Linked DNA regions of Macaca fascicularis. The protein of the gene in region 1 purifies or fractionates together with the protein of each later gene. This does not show direct contact. Links are inferred from orthologs where the notes say so. Each region holds a gene or a part of one and is shown on either strand. Other genes may lie near its edges. The genes, in order: SMARCD1, BCL7B and BICRA.

The links.
Region 2: the proteins of SMARCD1 (region 1) and BCL7B purify together in Homo sapiens (affinity purification with mass spectrometry; 4 studies listed by BioGRID and IntAct, counting the BioPlex papers as one, with this or other methods). This does not show direct contact. The link is inferred for Macaca fascicularis from reciprocal best matches to the Homo sapiens genes SMARCD1 and BCL7B.
Region 3: the proteins of SMARCD1 (region 1) and BICRA purify together in Homo sapiens (affinity purification with mass spectrometry; 5 studies listed by BioGRID and IntAct, counting the BioPlex papers as one, with this or other methods). This does not show direct contact. The link is inferred for Macaca fascicularis from reciprocal best matches to the Homo sapiens genes SMARCD1 and BICRA.

The regions. Positions count from the first base shown.
Region 1 is NC_088385.1:56,914,751-56,919,045, forward strand, and holds the start of SMARCD1 (SWI/SNF-related matrix-associated actin-dependent regulator of chromatin subfamily D member 1), read left to right. Parts: upstream 1-1,469; 5' UTR 1,470-1,497; coding exon 1,498-1,674; intron 1,675-2,294; coding exon 2,295-2,482; intron 2,483-2,768; coding exon 2,769-2,811; intron 2,812-2,904; coding exon 2,905-3,027; intron 3,028-3,511; coding exon 3,512-3,634; intron 3,635-4,295. UniProt on the Homo sapiens protein: Involved in transcriptional activation and repression of select genes by chromatin remodeling (alteration of DNA-nucleosome topology).
Region 2 is NC_088377.1:52,421,934-52,425,936, reverse strand, and holds the start of BCL7B (B-cell CLL/lymphoma 7 protein family member B), read left to right. Parts: upstream 1-1,184; 5' UTR 1,185-1,309; coding exon 1,310-1,401; intron 1,402-1,656; exon of another isoform or gene 1,657-1,849; intron 1,850-4,003. UniProt on the Homo sapiens protein: Positive regulator of apoptosis. Plays a role in the Wnt signaling pathway, negatively regulating the expression of Wnt signaling components CTNNB1 and HMGA1.
Region 3 is NC_088393.1:55,707,768-55,711,328, forward strand, and holds part of BICRA (BRD4-interacting chromatin-remodeling complex-associated protein), read left to right. Parts: intron 1-33; coding exon 34-210; intron 211-3,561. UniProt on the Homo sapiens protein: Component of SWI/SNF chromatin remodeling subcomplex GBAF that carries out key enzymatic activities, changing chromatin structure by altering DNA-histone contacts within a nucleosome in an ATP-dependent manner.

The DNA.
Region 1 (4,295 bases):
GCATTGGATAGGGGAACAGCAGGCAGGGCTTTGGGTGACGCATGCCTCTGGTCTAATAAACTGGGTTTCAACCATCTCCTCTTCAGTGTTGTTCACTTATTTGAAAACATATTTAGGTATTCTCACTAAGTGCCTAGAGCTGAGCTTGGTTTGGGGCCAAACAATTAGGGGATGAGTAAGGAGAAGGTTTGAATAGGGAGACTGTGGTCCTCCTGGGATGGGACGGCTGACCATCGTATCAGGAATAGTTTGAACCACTGGGCAGGGAAAGAGGGAGGAGTCAAAGGCAACAAAGGTCCAAAACAGAATCCCCATCACGAACAATGCTTTAGAGAGAGAGCAGAGTCAAAATTCAAGATAAACTGGAACTTATTATAAAATCTGGAAGCAGGCTGGCACGGTGGCTCACGCCTGTAATCCCAACACTTTGGGAGGCTGAGACGGGCGGATCACTTGAGGCCAGGAGTTCGAGACCAGCCTACGCAACATAATGAAACCCCCATCCCTATTTTTTAATATTAAAAAAAAATCTGAGGCCAGGCACAATGGCTCACACCTGTAATCCCAGCATTTTGGGAGGCTGAGGCGCGCAGACCACTTGAGCTTAGGAGTTTGAAACCAACATGGGCAACATGGTGAAACCCTGTCTCTACCAAAAATACAAAACAGCCTGGCATGGTGGTGCATGCCTGTGATCCCAGCTACTCGGGAGGCTGAGGTGGGAGGATCACTTGAGCTTGGGAGGCGGAGGTTGCAGTGAGCTGAGATGGTGCCACTGTGACAAAGACAGACCTCATGTCGAAAAAATAATAATAATAATAATCCGGAAGCAGGTTAGGTCGGAGACAAAGTTAGGTTGAAGTTCCCACGTGAGGTAGTTATTGAGGCACTTTATCTGTGGAATGAGTCCTGGGCTATGAGCAAGAAGACCTGGAATCTTGGCTTCGGCTTTATGACTAACTTGCTGGTTGACCTTTGCCAAGTCGTTCACCTGTGAGTTCAGCTTTCCTATTTGGAAAATGGAATAAACTGTGTTTCCCTCCTCAGCCCCTGATAGTTATAGCAGTAAGAAAATGAAACGAAAAGCAATCAAAGCGTTTTGGGAAGTTAATGCCATGCGCCAAGATGAAGCTATTACTCCAAGCACCTCATCATCAGCGGGCTGGAGTCGGGGTTGAGACTGGGGCTGAGGCTGTGGTCCGTCCCCCTTTCCAGGTCCTTGTCTACCTCCCGTCGGCCTGGGGGCGCCCACTCACGGGGCCTCTCTATCCCAGAGTTCTTCTCTATGGTTTTCCCTCCAGGACCGTGAAGGCGGGAGGGCGTGGCCAGCACGCCTTTTCCGCTACTCGCTCCTCTCTAGGCGACAGTCTCGCTGCCCTGAGCCTCCCGTGCCGGCCAGCCGGCCGGGGGAACAGGCGGGCGCTCGGGGGGCGCTCAGGGGGCGGGGGGAGTTCCGGTTCCGGTTCTTTGTGCAGCTGCATCGGCGGCTCCGGGAAGATGGCGGCCCGGGCGGGTTTCCAGTCTGTGGCTCCGAGCGGCGGCGCCGGAGCCTCGGGAGGGGCGGGCGCGGCTGCTGCCCTGGGCCCGGGCGGAACTCCGGGGCCTCCCGTGCGAATGGGCCCGGCTCCGGGTCAAGGGCTGTACCGCTCCCCGATGCCCGGAGCGGCCTATCCGGTGAGTGGGGCAGGAGGAGGGACGCGCGGGCCGGGGGCGGGGCCGAGCGGGGACGTGGGAGTGACAGGGGTGGGGGGAGAAGTAGGAGGGACTCCCTTGGGAGGGGTTCGGGCTCTGGGTGGGGGCTGGGGGAGGCAGTGCGCAGGAAGAGAGGGGGAGGCAGTTGGTGTCCACACCAGCTCCTAGGGGCATTGTTTCCGTGGGGAGTCGGTAGAGAACCAGGGTGGGTGAAGTGGGTCCAGGGATACCTATACGAGGGCCGGAGTGCAGAGGGGCTTGAGCAGCTCCATTGATCAAAGGAACACAGAACGTGTAGCTGACAAATTGAGGTCAGCTTCTAAAGAGATAGTAGCTAGCAGAGTAAATGTGGAACTGGCGATGTCCGATGTGTCCGATCCAAAATAGACCGATAATTTGAGTATAATCTGGCTCTCGCTTAGCTTTTGGACTCTTATTTTTCTGTGGAGTCACTGCTGGAGCAGAGGGTTCTCGTCTCATTGTCCTCCATTCCATCCGTAAACCTTACTTCATTCAAAGAACTCAGGCGTTCCCTGCTTTTCTTTCTTGGTGGGGTTTAGCAGGTGAAACCATGACATCTCTGGGTCCTCTCCCCTCTGTAGAGACCAGGTATGTTGCCAGGCAGCCGAATGACACCTCAGGGACCTTCCATGGGACCCCCTGGCTATGGGGGGAACCCTTCAGTCCGACCTGGCCTGGCCCAGTCAGGGATGGATCAGTCCCGCAAGAGACCTGCCCCTCAGCAGATCCAGCAGGTCCAGCAGCAGGCTGTCCAAAATCGAAACCACAAGTAAGATGATCCTGGGGCAGAGGGAGGGAGGGAGGGAGCCTGGGAGTACACAGGTGGTGGGATTACCTGAACCAAGAAGTGGTGGTGCTGTGTCAGCAGATGGTGCTACAGGATGATTGAGAATGCTTGGTGGTGGTGGTGGTGGTGGTGGTGGTGGTGGTGGTGGTAGTTCTTTGAGAGCAGCTTTGCAATCCCTTCACATTACTATAAATGGACATGCTGACAGCTTATTTTCACGTTCTGACTAGTTCTGTCCCAACCTGATAATAGTGTTTATTCCCAACAGTGCAAAGAAAAAGAAGATGGCTGACAAAATTCTACCTCAAAGGGTGAGTCCAGGCTATCTGTTTTCTGGAAAGTGTGGTAGGTTTGAGTATAGAGATGAATCATCCTAGATTTCAATTAATTTTTCTGTTCCTAAGATTCGTGAACTGGTACCAGAATCCCAGGCCTATATGGATCTCTTGGCTTTTGAAAGGAAACTGGACCAGACTATCATGAGGAAACGACTAGATATCCAAGAGGCCTTGAAACGTCCCATCAAGGTAACACAGGAAGTTACTAAGCAGAGAGCCAAAGGAGAGGACCCAGGAACCTTCAGCAGGCTTAGGATGAGAAATCAAAGGCACAGCACAACTCTCCTTGGCATTTAAATTGTATCTTTCCCTTCCGCCTACAAACTGAGAATTACATTAGGAGGATAAGAACAGAATGGCAAAGGGGGAGGGGCTCTTGATGTCTCTTGCACTACAAATATACCCTTGTCCATGTTTTTGCTGTAACTGCTCTGCTACCTTGGGAACCTGGCACCTTGCGTGACTTTGTCCACCTGGCATCCCACTGTATGCACTTGTACTTAGGCTGATGGCCAGTACTCCTCTTCTAAATGGAATCTTCATCCACCCACCCAAGGGACTGGGTAGACAGTAAGCCAGTCTGTTAGGAATAATTTTGGGGTTTGGGGAGACTCTTGTCTTCAACATTAGACCACTGAAGCCCCACGATCAATCCTGTTTCTGCCTTCCTCAGCAAAAACGGAAGCTGCGAATTTTCATTTCTAACACTTTCAATCCGGCTAAGTCAGATGCCGAGGATGGGGAAGGGACGGTGGCTTCCTGGGAGCTTCGGGTAGAAGGACGGCTCCTGGAGGATGTGAGTTCAAGGTCCACAGTGGTTGGCATCTAGGGTGGGAGCTGCTGGGAATGAACAGTGTTGTCTGGTCAGCAGGAAGCCTAACTGGTGCTCACAGCTCCTTTTGGGAGCAGTAGGGAGAGGGACACTGTTCCCTGCACTGAAAGACAATGGTCCTTTGTGTTTGCCCCCACACCTTTGGCCTTCACTGGTATCATGTGGAGAACCTTATTGTCCTGGGATCTGATTTGTGATTTACCTTCCTCTTGGTGCTGCTGGCCATTGGATTTAGCCGTATCTGTAGATTATTTAGTTTTTGTTTTGTTTTGTTTTTAGTCGAGTTTGCACTTCATTTGAGGCCGTGTTTCCTCTCTGAGTTCTTGTGGTATCTCCATCTTCTCAACTTTCATTGGAGGCACCCCATAGTTTAAGTAGGATAGATTTCTCTTGACAGGCTCTTTGTTGCTTCCTGGGGAGCATCAGCTGACAGGTGATAGCCCCCAAACTTCCCAACCCAGAAGCTCCTCGGGGAAGCTCACCTTTCTCTCATTCCCTTACATTCTCTTGCTCTATTTTTAGCTGCTCGCAGGAAGCTAATTGGAATGCACTTTTGCAGGAGAACCAGGGCTCAGTGTCAGAGCCTCCTTCTCTATATAGGTCCGGTCCATCTGCTGGTGGTGTC
Region 2 (4,003 bases), on another chromosome or scaffold:
AATACAAAAAAATTAGCCGGGTGTGATGGCGGGCGACTATAGTCTCAGCTACTCGGGAGGCTGAGACGCAGAATTGCTTGAACCCGGGAGGTAGAGGTTGTAGTGAGTCGAGATCACACCACTACACTCCAGCCTGGGCAACAGAGTGAGACTCCATCTCAGAAAAAAAAAAAAAAGACAGGCGCGGTGGCTCACGCCTGTAATCTCAGCACTTTGGGAGGCCAAGGCGGGCAGATCACGAGGTCAGGAGTTCGAGACCAGCCTGACCAACATGGTAAAACCCCGTCTCTACTAAAAATACAAAAATTAGCTGGGCGTGGTGGTGCGTGCCTGTAATCCCAGCTACTCTGGAGGCTGAGGCAGGAGAATCACTTGAACCCAGGAGGCGGAGGTTGCAGTGAGCTGAGATCATGCCACTGCACTCCAGCCTGAGCCACAGAGCGAGACTCCGTCTCAATAAATAAACTGGAAGTTGTTTGAAACCAAAACCACGTATGTCTTCAGTTTTTGGTACAGAGTCCTGCACAAAATAGGCATCTTTTATTTATTTTAGAGATGGGGTCTCCATATGTTGCCCAGGCTGGAGTGCAGTGGCTATTCACAGGTGCGATCATATCACAGCTGACTGCAGCCTCAAATTCCTGGGCTCAAGTGATCCTCCTGCTTCAGCCTCCCGAATACTTGAGACTACTAGATACTCGAGAAAAGGCAAGAATGTGGTCTGAATGTTGGGAAAGCAGTTCATCTGGTGAAGAGAGGAGAGGATTCCAGGTGAGGAACAGGTATGTGCAAAGGCCAGAAGGCATCCTGAAGAAACGCGAAGAAAGGCGTGGTTGGAGCACAGCGGCAGAGCCAGAGGGCAAAGGTGCTGGACAGGAGAGGCGGGAGGACAGAGACAGCGCAGGAGCGCGGTTCCACAGGGTCAGGTCCCTAACACGCTGGCCAGAGCAGGGAGCCGACCTCCAAACTCCCAGGGAAAAGAATCAGTTGCCCACCGGCAGCACCTCACACCTCGCCCTGACTACAGCACGTGCGCCCGGCCCGCCTCGCACCCCGGCCCGGGTGGGGGCTCAGGGGACTCCCGGGGCGCTCAGGAGGGACGCCCCGGGCGGGGCGCGCAGGCGCGCTGAGGCCGCGAGCCCCAAGGGGCGGGCGGGTGCGCGCGCTTCCTCGCGCACGCGCGCACAGAGGGGGCGACGGCCGCGGTGACGCTGCGGCGGCGGCGGCGGCGGGCGGGCGGCGGCGCGAGGCGCGCGATACCCGGTGTCTTGGGAGCAGTGCCCTGGCCCCCGCCGCTCCCGCCGCCGCCATGTCGGGCCGGTCGGTCCGGGCGGAGACCCGCAGCCGGGCCAAAGACGACATCAAGAAGGTGATGGCGGCCATCGAGAAAGTGCGGAAATGGTGAGGGGCCGGAGGTTAGGGGGCTGGCGGGGGTCGCGGGTCCAGGCCCTGAGGAGCGCGGGACTGGCGAGTCGGGTGGGAGCCGACCGGCCGGCGCTGGGGGAGGGGGACGCGGGAGAAGGCGGGAGGAGGGCGCCGCTGGCGTCGGCGTGAGGTCAGAGGGCGCGCCGGCCGCGGCCAATCAGCGGGCCGCCCAGTTCGCGGGCCCGCCCACCTGCTGCGGCTGCGGTCGCGCGCTGCCCGGGAGGGGATGCCGGCTTCCGGCCCGTGCTGGGGCCGCCTGGCCTCGGTGTCGCCGCGCCCGGCCCAGCCGGGGGCCCGCCCTCCACTCTTCCTGGGTTTTGGCCCCGCCTGCGTTTCCAAGCTGGCCCTTGATAATAGCGAGTATCCCTGGAGTGATTTCAACCCGCCAGGCTGAGAGCTCTGCGTATTCAGGCATTGAAGTTGGGTGAGTTTATGGGTTTGTCTGTTAAGGGAGGAAGCCTGGTGTCATCCAAAGGAAAACCCCTCACTTTCCCCCAGAACCCGGCCCCTGCGCCGCGAGCTTGGTAGGCATTTTCTCTTGCTGCCCTGACGGCTGTCAGGAGAGTCCTTTGCAAACTATGTACCAGCCTCCCTTTAATTTCTCTGGTTCTGCTCTTGCTCATTACCCAGCCCGTTCATCGTCTGCACTGAGTGATTTTATTTTTCTCACTTCCAAGTAGCAGTGGTCTTTTTAAAGTGCACGTCCTTACTTGGGAGGCTGTGGTGGGAGGATTGCTGGGACCCAGGAGTTGGAGGCTGCAGTGAGCTATGATCGTGCCACGGCACTCCAGCCTGGGCTACGGCGAGAGACCCCATGTCTAAAATGTGCATGGAAGACGCCGGTTGAGCACGTATTTTGTATCCAGATCTCCGATACACACTGTGTCGGTGTGTATCAGAGTCATCACGTTAAACTTTCATAGCCAACTTTGTCAAGTTTTTTGTATAGCCAATTACTACCCATTATTAAAAACCCAAGTATGGCTAGGTGAGGTGGCTCAGGCATGTAATCCCAGTACTTCGGGAGGCTGAGGCGGGCGGATCGCTTGAGGCCAGGAGTTTGAGACCAGCCTGGGCAACATAGTGAGACCCGGTCTCTACAAAAACTAAAAGTTCAAGTAGATATTACCTCCCGCCAGGAAGCCTTCCTTAACGTCTCCCACCCCTCACCCTTTACTCCCTTTAAGATCATTGGTACATTGACCTTTATTTGTGTGTTTATCTGTCCATTTCCACACAAGAGGGAAGTTCCTTCTCTTTCTATGTCTGAGGGCTTCATATATAGTTGGGTTTCCGTATAAATAGTTTAATTTATTCATGGTTTTCCTCGTCCACCTTTAATCCTCCAAGATTTTGGTGAAACCTGAGAACAGGCACACCCTTCTCTTCTCCCCATTTTTGACCCCCCGCCCCTAGCAGGCTAGGCTCAAGGGCCGTCCTCTGTCACCTGGAACTCTGTACCAGCCTCTTCTCTCTCTGCTGCTCTTGCTCATTCCCCAATCTGTTCATTGTCACCGAGTGATTTTATTTTTCTCTCTTCCGAGTTACAGAGTGATCTTAAAGTGCACAGCTTTATTTGGGAGGCTGTGGTGGGAGGATCGCTGGAGCCCAGGAGTTGAGGCCGCAGTGAACTATGGTCATACCATGGCACTCCATCCTGGGCAACAGAGCGAGACCCCATCTGTAAAAAATATATAAAATGTGCATCTTATGCTAGCACCCCTAGTAATGCTTCAGTGGTTCCATTCTTGCTTTTAGGATAAATACCGAAGAAGGCCTTCCTTCCTGCCTCACTTGGCTGGCTCTTTCCCAGGATGCCCACCGTCTTTCCAGTGAAGTCACTCTGCTCTTCCTGCCGCCTGGCATTCTTCTTCCTCTCTTTTCTCCTCCCTCTTGCTGAGTTAACTCCTAGCGCAGCTCAAAAGTTGCTTCCTTAGGTTCACCACTTGAGATTCCCAATCTAGATCAAGTCCCCTTCACAGAACTTTCCACGATTGTATTAGATGGACTCATAAGACATTTCTTATATTTGACTTCTGTTTTGTTTTTCTTTTTAGACAGAGTCTTGCTGTGTCACCCAGGTTGGAGTGCAGTGGTGCAATCTTGGCTCACTGCAACCTCTGCTTCCCAGGTTCAAGCAATTCTGCCTCAGCCTTCTGAGTAGCTGATTGCAAGTGTACACCACCACACCCAGCTAATTTTTGTATTTTTGTAGAGACTGGGTTTCACCATGTTGGCCAGGCTGGTCTTGAACTCCTGACTTCAAGTGGTCCTCCCACCTCGACCTCCCAAAGTGCTGGGATTACAGATGTGAGCCACTGCATCTGGTCTCCTGTATTTGGCTAATTAACCTACAAAAATGGCAATTTGATATGGTTAAACCTAATAATTAAGTGACTAATCCTGAATTGAGCTATTCATGTCTGTTTCCAGATATAAGACAGGGTCTGTGAGGGCAGGGACCATGGATCTTGTTCTCTGCATCGCCAGGTCCTAGCACAGCCTGTTGTAGACTAATTGGTTGAATAAATGAGAAAATGGAGTGGTCTGTTCAGGAATTCTAGTTATTTTCTAAGAC
Region 3 (3,561 bases), on another chromosome or scaffold:
GCCTTCTGACCCTGTGCGGGCTGCCCATTGCAGGAGAGGAGCCAGCAGCCCCTCTCCGCAGAGGGTCCCCACCTCTCCGTGCCTGCCTCGGTCATAGTCAGCGCCCCGCCTCCCGCCCAAGACCCAGCCCCGGCCACCCCCGTCGCCAAAGGAGCTGGCCTTGGCCCTCAGGCCCCCGACGGCCAGGCTTCCCCGGCTCCGGCCCCCCAGGTAGAGAGACCCCAACAGCGTGTGTCCGCAGCACAGACCCAGCCTCGCCCCTCCTGCCCGCTCTCCCGCTCCTCGCTCTCCGCCCTGCCTGCGTCTCTGTCCTGCTGACTTGGAACACAGAGCTCTCCTTCACTCCCACAAAGTGTTTCCCAATGATCATGGATGCCTGAGACCAGGGCCGGCCCTGGGGGAGCCCATGCGCTGCAGGAATGCAAGACACACACGGAAGGAAATCTCTTATTTCCTAAAATTATAATTTTCACATCCGAATTAGTAATACATTCAGATAATTCACATTTAAGAAGGTACAAAAAGATGCATAGTGGAGAGCCCCCCTCTCCTGAACCGTAGCCTCCTGTCATCTTCCCAGGGTGGTTTCTTGCATTTGTTATCTGGATAGGGAAACAATCAAATATGGATTCTTTTCCTTCAATTTTTACAAAAAGGGTAGCATCCTCTGCCTGCAGTATTGCATTTTTTATTATTTAAAAATTGATCTTGGAGACCATTCTTCATTTTCTCTTTAAAAAAAAAAAAAAGAGATGGAGTCTTACTCTATCACCCAGGCTGGAGTGCAGTGGCACGATCTCGGCTCACTGCAACCTCCGCCTCCCATGTTCAAATGATTCTCCTGCCTCAGCCTCCTGAGTAGCTGGGATTATAGGTGCCTGCCACCATGCTGGGCTAAGTTTTGTATTTTTAGTAGAGACAAGGTTTCACCATGTTGCCCAGGCTGATCTTGAACTCCGGACCTCAAGTGATCTGCCCGCCTTGGCCTCCCAAAGTGCTGGAATTACAAGTGTTGGCCACTGTGCCCGTTCCCATTCTTCATTCTTTTATGTGACTGCGTAGTATTCCACTGTGTGCATGTACTGATATTTATTTAGCCAGTCTAAATTGTTGGGTTTTTAGATCACTTCTGATCTGTAGCTATTATGAACAAGGCTGCAAAGAATGCCTTTGTATGTATGTCATTTTGTAGGGTAAGTTCTTCACAAGGAATTTGCTGGCTCTAAAGGCATATGCATTTTTATCTCTGACAGATATTGTCAAATTGCCCCCTGTGGAGTACAAATGAGTTTAACCTTTATCAGCAATATGTGATTATGCCTTCCCCACCCCGCCCGCAACCTCACCAGTATGTTGAACTTGGCCGATCTAGATAGGTGAAAAATAGTATCTTGTTTTGTTTTCATTTGCATTTCTTTTATTGTGAATGAGGTCAGGCAGCTTTTCATAAGAGTAAGAGCCATATGTACTTTCTGTTCTGTGAAACTGCTCATACCCTTTGCCATTGTAAAATCTGGGTTACTGTCATTTTGTTGTAGATTTGTAGAAACTCTTTACATATTAGGAAAATTAGCCTTTTGTCTTAAGAGTAATAAGCAGTATGCTTATGAGTCATAAGCACATAGCAGGTTAGGGAGGGCTACCCTCTTATTCTAGAGCAGTGAATGTGGTACTCATTCAAAAAGGACCAGTGGATAGGTAGGAAGAGGAGAGTGTGACAGTGACAAGGGCAGGATGGCAGAAGTCAGCATGGGCTTTGACCTTGAACAGCCATTATTTCACTTGCAGGCTCTCCCACTTACCATTTAACCTTTAGCAACCAGTAGTTCATTCCATCAGCAGATGCTTAGGTAGGCTGAGGGAGCACTTAGGTGGAGTAAATGAGTTAGCACAAAGTAAGCACTTGATAAATGTTTGCTTTTATTATTATTATATATTTTTTGAGACAGACTCTCACTCTGTCGCCTAGGCTGGAGTGCAGTGGCAAGATCTCAGCTCGCTGCAACTTCCACCTCCTGGGTTCAAGTGATTCTCCTGCCTCAGCCTCCTGAGTAGCTGGGATTACAGGTGCCCCCCACCACGTTTGGCTAATTTTCATATTTTTAGTAGAGATGGGGTATCACCATGTTGGCCAAGCTGGTCTCAAACTCCTGATCTCAGGTGAACCACCTGCCTCAGCCTCCCAAATTGCTAGGATTACCGGCTCCCGCCACCATGTCTGGCTAATTTTTGTATTTTTAGTAGAGAGATGGGGTTTCGCCATGTTGGCCAGGCTGGTCTCAAACTCCTGACCTCAGGTGATCCACCCGCCTCAGCCTCCCAAAGTGCTGGGATGACCGGTGTGAGCCACCACACCCGGCCTAGCAGTCTCTCATTTAAACCTCACAACCTCCACCAGGCAGGTGGCAGCATCTCATTTTGCAGGTGAGGAAACAGAGGCAAAGGGAGATTAATTAGCTTACCCAAGGTTGCCCAGCTCGCAAATGGTAGGGCCTGGATTTAAACCCTGGGGGCTTACTGCTGGAGACACCTGAAGTCTTGAGAAAGCCAGACCTGGGTGTGAATCCAGCTCTGCTTAGTGGAGCTCTCTGAGGCATGGTTTTTACATCTAAAATGGGAATAAGGCCAGTGACCTGACATGATGGCACTGCACAGAGCCAGTGCTTAGTGAACAGACACTTACTGTTAGCAGTTGCAGTAATTATGCTGTAGCTGAACTTATTTTTTTGGAAGCAGGGTCTGTCTGGCTCTGTCGCCCAGGCTGGAGTACGGTGGTGCAATATTGGCTCCTACAACCTCTGCCTCCCATGCTTAAGTGATTCTCCCGCCTCAGACCCTGAAGTAGCTGGGACTACAGGTGCGTGCCACCACGCACAGCTAATTTTTTTTTTTTTTTTGTATTTTATTTTGTGGGGGAGATATGGGGTCTCACTATGCTGCCTAGGCTGGTTTCGAACTCCTAGGCTCAGTAATCTTCCCACCTTGGCCTCTCACAGGGCCAGGATTACGGGGGTAAGCCACTGTGCCTGGCCACGTGGATGACCTTTGAGAAGGATGCTTAGTGCGCACAGTCAGGTGTGCACCCGAGCTGACTCTTAGTCACACAGAGAGGCGGGGAGGCACAAGGTAGGACTCTCCACAGTAGCTGTGTCTGCAACAGTGCCAGCATGACAGAAGGTGGTCGATGAATGTTTGTTGAATGGGCAAGTGGATGGACAGATGGATGGCTGAATGGACGAACGGATGGATGGCATGGGTGGGTGTGTGACTGGGTGATTGGCCAAGTGTCCCCTGGCGGGGACAGAATCATCCAGATTGAGAACCACTATCCTGTGTATATGCAGGAATGCACGGAATAGCAGTTCCCAATCTGGATGATTCTTACTGTTAGTAAAAGTAGTGGTTCTCTTACTGTCTGAACTCCAACCCCTGCATTCGGAACTCTGATCTCTGGACCCAGATGGATTTGGCAGCCTCTGTGTGTGTGTGTGTGTATGTGTGTGTGCCCGTGCGCACATTTTCCCTTTGTGTTAACACAAACAGAAATGCAAAGACTGTGTT